Cricetulus griseus: one gene and its partners. The protein of the gene in region 1 purifies or fractionates together with the protein of each later gene. This does not show direct contact. Links are inferred from orthologs where the notes say so. Each region holds a gene or a part of one and is shown on either strand. Other genes may lie near its edges. The genes, in order: Ppp1cb, neurabin-2 and Tox4.

The links.
Region 2: the proteins of Ppp1cb (region 1) and neurabin-2 purify together in Homo sapiens (affinity purification with mass spectrometry; 4 studies listed by BioGRID and IntAct, with this or other methods). This does not show direct contact. The link is inferred for Cricetulus griseus from reciprocal best matches to the Homo sapiens genes PPP1CB and PPP1R9B.
Region 3: the proteins of Ppp1cb (region 1) and Tox4 purify together in Homo sapiens (affinity purification with mass spectrometry; 5 studies listed by BioGRID and IntAct, with this or other methods). This does not show direct contact. The link is inferred for Cricetulus griseus from reciprocal best matches to the Homo sapiens genes PPP1CB and TOX4.

The regions. Positions count from the first base shown.
Region 1 is NC_048600.1:12,008,209-12,011,955, forward strand, and holds the start of Ppp1cb (serine/threonine-protein phosphatase PP1-beta catalytic subunit), read right to left. Parts: upstream 2,454-3,747; 5' UTR 2,311-2,453; intron 2,206-2,310; exon of another isoform or gene 2,156-2,205; 5' UTR 2,071-2,155; coding exon 2,019-2,070; intron 1-2,018. UniProt on the Homo sapiens protein: Protein phosphatase that associates with over 200 regulatory proteins to form highly specific holoenzymes which dephosphorylate hundreds of biological targets.
Region 2 is NC_048600.1:108,184,819-108,188,465, reverse strand, and holds part of neurabin-2, read right to left. Parts: intron 2,453-3,647; coding exon 2,223-2,452; intron 1,972-2,222; coding exon 1,875-1,971; intron 1,698-1,874; coding exon 1,644-1,697; 3' UTR 1-1,643. UniProt on the Homo sapiens protein: Seems to act as a scaffold protein in multiple signaling pathways. Modulates excitatory synaptic transmission and dendritic spine morphology. Binds to actin filaments (F-actin) and shows cross-linking activity. Binds along the sides of the F-actin.
Region 3 is NW_023276807.1:207,391,224-207,394,870, reverse strand, and holds part of Tox4 (TOX high mobility group box family member 4), read right to left. Parts: intron 3,144-3,647; coding exon 3,063-3,143; intron 2,497-3,062; coding exon 1,753-2,496; intron 1,367-1,752; coding exon 1,203-1,366; intron 626-1,202; coding exon 565-625; 3' UTR 1-564. UniProt on the Homo sapiens protein: Transcription factor that modulates cell fate reprogramming from the somatic state to the pluripotent and neuronal fate. In liver, controls the expression of hormone-regulated gluconeogenic genes such as G6PC1 and PCK1.

The DNA of each region.
Region 1 (3,747 bases):
ATATAACCACATTTACTCTGCTAGGCAACTTTGCACAGGAGCAACTTGATGAGTTAAATTAGCACATAACACCTCTGAAAACCAAAATAGACAAAAAAAAAATTAAGACTAAAATTACTCACTAGAAAATCCAAGTTTTTGACAGTTATTTGAACAGGTCTAGATTTGGGGAGGAAGGGAGGGACGGGTAATATTTCAGAGTAACAGGGAGATGTCAAGGTAAACAAACTTCAATTGCATACAGGAACAAAAATGTAAAACAACAACAAAAACCACCAGACAAACCACTAGTAAATCGTATGTTCAACAACGGAAGAGCAAGAAGGCTAGAAAATGCTTAAGTCACTTGTTTATACTGAGTGCCTTGAGTGGAGATTGTGTCTTATCTTTGGATTCCTGGTGCCTGGCACGGAGGAGTCAATAGACACTTGCTATATTAGAAGAATAGAACAATGTATCTTGACAAGAAATTCTTACCCAAAAAGGAGGGGGCTGGGAGTGGGGGTGACTGAAGCTAGAACCAAGTATTAGGCTGCTCTCCCCCTTTTCTCTACTAAAGTTTAAGTATCTGTAATCATATAAAGGTACATTTAATTGAAAGGGTTCTAGATCAGTTTAAAATACATGACTCTGCTATAATGTATTTATAAAAAATTAAATATGAATAAACTAAGATACAATCAAATTTAAAACTTAATTTAAGTATATGAAAACAGCGGTAGGCTTAAATTCACCTTCTCCTATAAGCACAATTCTTTTTCTAAACAAGTTTCTCACAGACACATAAAGATGTTCCCACCAGTTAAAGACCACAAAGTCCCGAGTAGTGAACACAGCAAGCACCAGGGGGCCTCCCAGGAATAACATGATACTAAAGGAAAAGGTAAATAAGAATTCCCGGTACAAAAAAAAAAAAAAAAAAAAAAAACTTCCTTCTCAGCCTTCAGGAAGGCTTTAATATCTGGAGCAAATATACAGAGATCTTTGCAAGGGATAGATACGGTGTACTTCAGTTGAAAAAAAGTCACCCCTCTCCATACAATCCTCTTTGGTAAATTTCCAAACATAAGTACAAACTGCTTCGCTGTAGTAAACAAAAGCAGCATACACGCATTCATTAGGTGTCCAATAAAGAGGGCTCTTAATCATCCAAAAAGACAATTCTTTTTTACACATTCCCCAAACAATTAGTAGCGAAGCGAATTTTTGAGTAAAAGGATTATTTTGACCAAGACCCGCTTTAACTTTGAACAGTGTCCCGCAACGGATCAATACATTTAATTACCGGTCTCTCCATCTAGTCTTCTCTTTCCTCCTTATGTTCCCACCAACACCAAACTAACTATAAAAAGCATGAGAACCCGGAACTTAAGTGCTGCGAAGACTAAGCCCGAGAGAGGCTGTTACAACAGGCATTTACTAAGTTTGTGCAGAATTTAAACTCGGCTCAAACATGTTATGATTTTAAGCCCCCCACATCAATCCCTTCAGCCCCAGGTATCCAGACGTTTCGTATTTCTAACGGACATCTCCAACCCGATCCAAGATTTTTCACTATTTTTGTACGCCAGATAATAAATAGTGAACTATGCATCCTGTCCTCTCCTTAAGCCCTTCTAGAGCATCCAGTAAAAAAATGCAAACGACCCGAGAGCCTCACTTGGGAAGGGCTTCTCTCTCTCTCTCTTTTTTTTTTTTTTTCCGTAAAATTCACTACCGGAACGACAATCGGAGGCAGCCAAGGGCAGCGCACAAAGAGCGGAGAAGAAACACACATTCCACGGACACACAACACGCAGCGGCAGGCATCGCCGCCGCTTCTTTGGAAGGGCTAGCGGAGGGAGGCAGCACAGAGGCCTCCGGGAAGGCTGTACCCGCCGACGAGCCCCGGGCCGCGGCGCCGCCTCTCCGCTGGCTCGCCCGTCACCCCGCGCTCCGCTCCGGGCCTCCTGGGGCCCCCAGCCCGGGCTGGGCTCGAGCGGGAGGGGCCCGCGGCCCGGCGCCGCACTCGCACTCACCCTCCAGCAGGCGGGTGATGAGGCTGTCCACGTTCAGCTCCCCGTCCGCCATCTTGTCGGCACCAGACTCTCCTCCCCGCAGCGGGAACAAGGGCTTCGCGGCGGCGGCGGCGGCGGCGGCGGCTCGGCGCTCTCACCTACGAGTCACGCGGCGTCTCGACCCCGGCCGGCTCCAACTCCCCCCGGGCGCGGGCCCTCCCCCCACCCCTCCCCGCCGAGCAGCGAGAGCGCGCGCACACGCCGGGAGAAGCCCACTAGAAATAATTAAATAAACAAGCCGGGCCCCACGAACCGAGCGCATCAGACCCCAGCAGCCGCCACCGCCTCCGCCTCCGCCTCCGCCTCCTCCTCCGGCGGCTCCTCCTGCTCGGCACCGCCCAGCTCCGCAATGCTCGCCAGCGCCGCGGGCAGCCCCGCCCTCAGCGTCACTCCCTTCCCTCCGCCCTGGCCCGCCGCCCCGCCGAGCCGCCAGAGCCGTGCGCACGCGCGCCACGTCCCCCTCCCGCGGCCCCGTCCCCGCCCTCGCCTCCGCCGCAGCCAACGCGCAGGTGCGGCTCCCTCCCGCCCCAGGTCCGCTGGCCGAGCCGTCACGACTGCTCAGGCGCAGGGAGGAGCCAGCCTTGCTGCGCAGAGCGAACGCGGAGCCCGCGTAGGCACGAATGACCTTCCTCTTCTCTGCAGAGTTAGCGATTGCGTCCCTCCCGCCTTGCTTTTCTTTTCTTGGCTTCATTCACTGCCCTTGCAAACAATTCCTCATGTTTCCGCTAATCTGGAACCGTGTGTGCGCTGCGGTTGCCCATCTTGGAAACCCAGGTTTGTTGGAAGCAGAACGAGACGACTCTGCTAAAAAATACTGATATAGCAAATAAAGTGTTCTTTATCGTTTTACCAGTGTGGCTGATTCTCCAGGTGGCCCTGGGTGAAACAAGCATCAAAGTGGGCCCCATTCAGCAGTAATAAGATAATACACGCTCTGGTTTCTGCCTCTGTAGCCCTTTTATCGTATCTTGTATCTATCTCCAAACACTCTAGATAGCACTTTTCCATAAGTGCTTTTTGTATATTGCTCTATTATATGCCTTAATCTTCTTATCTTGTGATAGTTGAACTTTTTTTTTTTCTGCTGTACTTGGTTCCTAGAGGATAAAATCACATTTGTAGGCATGAGATGCCTGTAATCCCTACACTTGGGAGATTCCGAAACTCAAGGTCATCATCAACTATGTAACAGGACGGGGCAGCTTATACTACAGTAGTTCCTGTCTCAAGAAACCAACCAACCACAACTCATTTATCTTCATGTCTGCATCACCCACCAAGTATCTTGTTTATACAATACAGGGAGAAATAGAAACTCGGGGAAATGGAAAGATTCGTTGCTTGCCTTTCCTTCCAACACCTAAAATTGCCACCAAAGGACAGTAGGGAAGAGTAGCCAAGGAAAAGATTTAGGTAAGGATTTGAGGAAGTCAAGTCAAAACTTTTACCTATTCCCAAACCGGTGCTTCTTCCTCACCCCACCCTCACCCCACCCCCAACTCAGACTTCATGATGCTGGCAGCGCAAGGCTGCCTGTACTTTCCTTGCTCACTTACTAATAGCTTACACTGAGATTGTATGTCCTGGCGCTAATCTAGATGTCATGCAACATCATCTCATTTCATTCTTACAGCAAGCCCTAGGCGGCAGGTACCATTATTACCTCTACTTGTGGGTAAGACTGAGACAC
Region 2 (3,647 bases), about 96 Mb from region 1:
AACTGGCATTGAGATCTTCTCTACATCCTGGGCAAAACTAGGAAAAGGGACCTTCTGGTACCTTCTCTTTCCCCGTCAGCGCATCAAGAAACCAGGCAGCAAGGCTCTGGGGGCTGCTTTTATGGGGACGACCTGACAGAGGGTATGGTCCGTACAAAACCAGGAACAATACATACATATATATATTATATACAGAGACGGGGTCCTCCAAGGGCGGGGCAAGAGCACTGCCGGTCAGAACCGGAAGTACATCGAAGACCCACCCACCCGGCTCCGCCCCCTCCATCTGCCTAGGTGAAGTGCAGGAGCCGGGCACTGTGACAGCCAGCTCTTTCTGGGGAGTGGGAAACGCTGGGGGCGGAAGAGAGGGGCAAGAAATACTGATTGATGGTATGGTCTATTTACAGGGGTCTAGGAGAAGCCAAAAAGGATAGAACAGGGTTGTTTAAAAAAACAAAACAAAAAAACCGAACAGAAACCTAGGCTTGGGAAAGGGATTGTGGAGGTGGCAAAATGAGATGGATTTTTAAAGGGGAGGGTACCTGAGGGGGTCTCACCTCCCTTGGTCCAAGCCCCAATTTGGGGTTAAAGTGGGGAAACTGAGTCAATTTCACTTAGAAAGCAGGCTGACATCAAGCAGCCCTGGTCTCCAAAAAGCTTAGTAAAATTTTTCCCTCCAGTGAAAACATTGGAAAACAGTGGGGGGTGGGGGGAGGCTGAATCTGTTTGATGGTAATACAAGGCTTCCAGGTGTGGCCCTGGGCAGGGCCTAGCTCCCCAGGGAGAGCTCTGCAGGCACACCATCTAAGCTGACCTTCCTCCCTCCTGGCAAGCCTAGGCTAGACCAAGGAAACCTGAACCCCAGAGTGGCCTCAGGACAGTTCCAGGAGGAGGCTATGGCTATTTGGCACCTGGGAGAGGGGAGGCACAAGGAGAAGTTGAGGGCCATTGCCCTTCCTAGGAAAGGGGGGGGGGGGCTGGATTCCAGATGTTCTGGACTCATCCTTTTCCCTATTCCGGCTCACTCCCCACCCCCAGCCCCGCCTGCCCCAAGGATACATGAGAAATCAGTGCAGGACCAAGCCCAGCCTGAGGCTCAAGGGTGGGCTCTATCCCTCCTGGGATGGGAAGCAGGGGTGGGAGATGTTGAGGCAACCCCTCCAAGCAGGAGGCCAGAATGCAACAGACAGAACAATGATAGGGAGGAGGAAAGAATCTCAAGTCAAGAGGCCCAGGGGCCACAAGGACCCTGTGGGCAGGGAGCAGCCTCCACGTGGTGAGATGCTGGGAGAGCCCCAGCTCCACTCCGGTCCAGAGACACAGGCTGGAGGTTGTAAAGTCTGGCAGTTTGGTCTGCAGGTCCTTGTGTCCATCCACCACCCAGGTCCGCTTTCAGTTTCTCTTGTACCTCAGCCCCATAGAACAAGGAGGCCACTCTTCCAGCTACCATTGTCTGCCCCGGGGGCCACCCTAAAGCGGCCTGTAATATGGGCCCTCTGGTCCCTGAAGCTGGGGGAGGTGGGGTGGAGGAGGGGGGAAGTCGGGGCACCTGTCCCCAGGCTGGTAGGAGCGGGGCGGGGATTGAGGACAGGGGTGAAGATAATGGGAGGGGATTATTATTGTCCAGTCAAGGAGCGATCCTGTTAAGTAGAATTGGAATTCCTCAGGGTCTGCAGGTTTCCTTCCAGTTCTGAGATCTAGAAAACAGAGAGGGGACATCAGGCTTGGCCACTGAGCAAGGATCGTGCCCCCAGCTCTGACCCTAAGCTCCTGGCCAGCAATACAATCCTCCCCAAACATCAACAGAGCGGTGTTCTTTGATTCTGGCTTCTATGTTGCTCCCTCTGGAGGCTGCCCAGGGCTCCAGGCTCTACCTTATCCAGAAGCTTGTCCATTTCCTCCTTCCTAGCTAGCTCCGACTCTTCCAGTACCCGACGCTGGGCAGTCTCTTTTTTCAGGAACTCGATCTCCCTGGAGACAGGCAAGGAACAGGGTTAGGGTTTATGGTGTATGTTTAGTCCAGTGAGATGCAGGTTTTCCCAATGTCTCTAGGGCCGGGGGTCTGGTATTCAGTCATTCCAGCTCAGGTACCCACCACAGTGCCCTCTAACTTCTGTATTCCTTGTCTCCCTACTCAGCTGGAGGAAGGCTGGGGTGGGGACTACCACACTGAAGGCCTCTCCATCCTGCTTGGGCCCAGATGCAAAACTCCTCACACATACTTTTGCTGGTAGTCCTTGATGAGTCGTTTGGCCTTGCTGTACTTGCGTTCCAGGGCCTGATACTGGGCCTGAGTCTCCCGCAGGTGTTCATCCACAGCCTGGCACAGGCTCTGGGCCTCACCCCAGTAGCCCTCCAGCTTCTCCATTCTCTCCTTATTCTCCTCTACACTCTGCTCCAGCTGGGCCTTCTCGGCCCGCCAGCGCCCTTTTTCCTGCTCCAGACTCTGCAACTACAAGGAAAGGGCAGCCCTGGGTTAGAGAGGACCAGAGTGAGTCATGCAGCCAACAGTCTTTAGGAATTCTTGCACCAGTGGAGCCTGCTGGCCCCCAACTACTAATTCTCCCAGCGGGTAGCAGGTACCCACGAGTCACTCACTGATTAGCAACTTCTGCCTTATCCAGAAGATGGGAGTGACATGCCTCAGGGCTAGTGAGATGGTAGATACGAAACAGTCACCACCCGCTTGCACCCTCTGCAGCCCTGGTTTGCAAAGCAGCCTTTATCCCTGGAGAATTTTAAGTATCTAGCCCCGCTGGGCGTTGGTGGCGCACGCCTTTAATCCCAACACTTGGGAGGCAGAGGCAGGCGATCTCTGTGAGTTCGAGACCAGCCTGGTCCACAGAGCTAGTTCCAGGACAGCCTCCAAAGCAGTACAGAGAAACCCTGTCTCGAGGAAAAAAAAAAAAAAAAAAAAATTGAGTCTAAATATCTAGCCCCTTTCCAGCTCTCAAGTGAGCTGTTTTCCCAACAGCTCAGGCTGCATTCTTCTCTCCTTACCCTTGCTCAGGCAAGGCCCCACCTCCCACACCACTGCTATGCACAGGGCCCCAAATCCCTAGTGCCTGCCACATCTTGCACCTAACTTCCAGCCCTACCATGCCCTAAATGGAACCCTCCCCATTCAAAACCAGCTTTCCTGGCTTGCTTGCCTGTTAGAAGGTCCCACTGCCTCACAGCAGTCCCTGGTACCCAGTTTCCAGTTCTAGGTTGTCCTCCTATCTTACCTGCTGCAAACACCTCATGCTTTCTAAGCTTAGATAACTCAAGCCTTCCTGCAAACCCTCAGACTTGCCACAGAGCCTTTGCGGGTACTGTTCCATCTACCCTTCGTCATTACATTTGCCATGCATCATTTTCCCAGAAAAGCCTGCTGGGAATTCAGTGGGGTAGCATGCCGCCCCCCCCCCAATACACACACACACATGAGTTCTTCCTGATCTAGGGGTTCAGTAAGGGCCCACTCCCTTCTCTTACAGAGCCTATCAGGGAGTAACAACAGCCAATGGTGTGCAGACTCTAAGACACACAGGGACAAGGACCAACTCTGCTTTTGCTCCTAACAGTGCCTAAAGTGGCATTAGCTGTCCACAAGTTACCCTAGCTGTCTGTCAATTGAATGCCTCTTTGCTTTCTGAGCAGGAAGC
Region 3 (3,647 bases), on another chromosome or scaffold:
ACTCAGTTTTGTTAGTGCTAGGCCATAACCCCAGTCCAACAAACCTTTGTTTTTAAAGTACTGTGTAGATTAATAATAGTAAGTTCCCTTTTTAAAGGGGGTATTTTAAGTCAGTATTTTCATTCCTCTTTAATTTGGGATTTAAACCCAATGCACTTTACCACTGAGCTGTAACCCTAAGCCTCTTATCCCAGTGCTGTTTCCTCCTAGGGACAGAGCTAAGAACTTTTCCAATAACATCTGAAGCAAGTCCTCTGATAATTTTACCGACACATTTCTTCTAATAACCCACTATGGTTTGCTTCCATATTCCCTTTACCCTTTCCTGTGCTATAACCTGGTAATTTTGCTTGTAGTCGAGAGTGAAAAACAATTCCAAATTACAGTAAATTCACTGGCCCTGCTATAGTCTGGCCTCTGCTGAAGAAAGAAAAGATGGGGACATGAAGGACTATGGGTGTAAAGGTCAGGCACTACCAGAAGAAGCCCAGCTTGTGTTTCAAATACAGGCTCTTGGACTTGTGTCTGGCAGATGAATCTTCCAGGCTTGGAGAAACAGAAAGGCTACTTCACAAACACCACAGAGTTTGGATTTCTAGAGGCCACCCAGGCCAAGAATACATCCCTAAGAGAAAGAAAGATAACACAAACTTATTACAGCCTAGATACATTCCTTAACTATCTCTTTTATCTTTTCAACAACAACAACAACTACAAAAATACCCAAATAATTGTCTCCATCTCCAAAAATACATTATCTTAGTAAACTTAGGAACAAAGAGCCTAAAAGTCAGAAGGTAGTGATCCATCTCACAGAAGTCTAGAGACAGGACACACTCACCTTTTTCGTGGATATAGGATAATCCCCTGGAATTACTACTGTAGGTAAGTAGTAAAACTACTCTTCTCACAATTAGCATTTACTGGGCTATTTTCCCCTTAACCTATCCTTCACCAATTTCTTTGGCACTGATAACTGAATCAGGTCCTTACTCATGCCAGGCAAGCTATCTTCAATTGGGCTACATACCATACCTAAGAGATTGAACAATGCTTTTTTCTAGTATCTCTAACCAGATATCCATCTACTTATGTATGTATCAAGCTGTTCTTCTACCTAAAGAAATACTGATTACATACTCAAGGTGCTTCCCAACAGATAGCTTAACTACTACTTTAATTATAAGAACTGTTTCGCTCACCTGCAGTGTTTTACCACACACTCATTGCTGCAGTATTCGTTGTCCCAATCCTTACTGATAACAGGAGGGTTCTCACAACCAGACCTCACACATCGAGGCTGAGGTGAGAGTGTCACAGGGGATCCACTCACCAACTCAACATCCATCTGAGAAGGAGACTCCACCTTAGAACAGGGAACAAACAAGGATGGGTTAGAGTACTACCTACCTAGTCAAAACATTTTACATACCAGTAGAGAAACAGGTACCATACCCCCTCACATAAGGAGTTTCAGAAAAAGGCAAGTTCTTGATTTTCTCATTTTATAACCAAGCTTTAGAATTCTGCTAAGCAGGATGACATGTACATTCTATCTAGGAATTTTATTTTAAAACAACTTGTTATAAATTAAACCTGGCATACAGAGGAAGAAGAATCAGACTCAGGGTTCTCTTTGGCTGCATAGTGAGTTTATGTATCCTGGCCTACTAAGACTCGATCTCAAACAAAAAAACAACTGGCAGAACTGGATTCCCACCAGCCCCATCCAAGGAAATAATACAGGCTTACCTCAGGAACTACATCCGTGATCATTTCACAGATTGTCTCAGGAGAGGTTGCTTCTGCTGTGTGAGCCTCAGGGCTGCAATTTAGAGGCTGCTCAGGGCTGCTTTCCACAGCTGGAGGGATCAGGGCAGTCTGCATTTTCAGAGTGGGTGGAGGCACAACCTTGCTCTGCAGAGGTGGTGGTTGCTGTTGTAAATTTATTCTAACTTTCTGAGGTGGAGGCTGTTGCATGGCCTGAAGTGGAGGAGGTTGCTGCAGAATAGTGACTTGCTGTTGAGTTGGGGGCTGAGGCATCTGTTGCAATGGAGGTGGCTGTAGTCGGGGTGGAGGCAGTTGCATAGACGCAGCAGCTGCTGCTGCTGCCTGCAACACTGACCGAGTGACAATCTGGGCCTGTTGGCTGGGCTGAATAGTAGCTGTACTTGTTTGGCCTAATTGGAGCCCACGGGAGGTAACCACTGTAGCTGGGATAACAGTAACCATTCCTCCTTGAGACATGGTAATAGAAGAGGGCAACATCTGTTTGGTAATAATCAATTTGGTAATATTGGGCTGACCTCCAGCCCCCGAGGATGCCTGGTTTGCCACATAAGATGAAAGCGTGGAATTAACTACAATGCAAGGGGACAAAGCAGGTGACTCTGTTGAGGCTGGTGCTGGAGATGCTGGGTCAGCAGTAGTCACAGGAGGTGGTGAAGGAGTCTGTGACTGCGGGACGGGATCTAATTCCACTGTTTCCACAGTAGCCTAAAAGACCAAGACAGAAAGGCAACAAGTAATTTACTCTCTACTGTAGCACACATTCACTCTCATTACACTTCAAGAAAATATAAGTAATAGAAAAATAAAGGCTTTCTTAGGTAAACACTGGAAATAATGGATAAACTCAAAGACTATTTAGCAAGGCTTATGACACAAAATACTGGGGAAGCTCTAAATCAATTTTAACACTATATAATAATAGGTTTCACAGTTTTTTTTTTTTAATTTTTATTTTATGTGTATGGGTGTGTACCTGCACATATGTGCACAACAGAAGAGGACATTGGATCTTCAGGAACTGGAGTTAAGATGGTCCTAAGGAACCATGTGAGTGCTGGAAACTCAGGTACTTTTTAAGTACAGCCAGTGCTCTTGACGTGTGCCTTTCTCTGTGTGTGTGTGTGTGTGTGTGTGTGTGTGTGTGTGTGTGTGTGTCTGTGTGTCTGTGTGTGTGTGTGTGTACACGAAAAAGAGAGATAGAGACAGAGATTTACCTATAGCAATTTTTTAAAAATGAATTGGTTTAATACATCCATTTATTGTCACCTTACCTGACATTCCTGGTTGTCTTTATAAGCAGCTAGTGCCTTGAGATACTCTTTCTTGGCAGCTTCAGTTTTCCGCTTATACACCTATGAGAAAGAAAGACACTGTTTCAAATGACCATATTCCTAGGAGAAACTGACAGTCTATTATTGTCCATCAGGAACTCAGTCACACCACAGACCACTCCTTTTAGTGAAAACACTTGAGCAAGAAACGACAAACTTTATGGCAAATTCACTCTACTGTCTTGCTAGAATACCTATACTTCTAAAGTGAACAGAAATGCATGTTCATTGCTATATCAAAAATAAAACCACCTCCAAATTTTAAGATGAGTAGTCTACATAGCCCAATACTGCCCAACTCAGAAACTTTCCCCTAGGAATGTACTAAGTTGTCAGAGTCCTTTCCTCTTGTGTGCCCTTCTCCCACCAAAAGCTGAAGGCTCAGCTATTTCCTCTTCTCCTGAATCTGGACTCATTCTCTCTGTGACTTGTTTGATTATTACAATGTACCACACTGCTTAAAACATGAGACGCTACCTGAAGGAGCAACAACACGCCAAATAACAGATGTGGTAACAGCCAGCT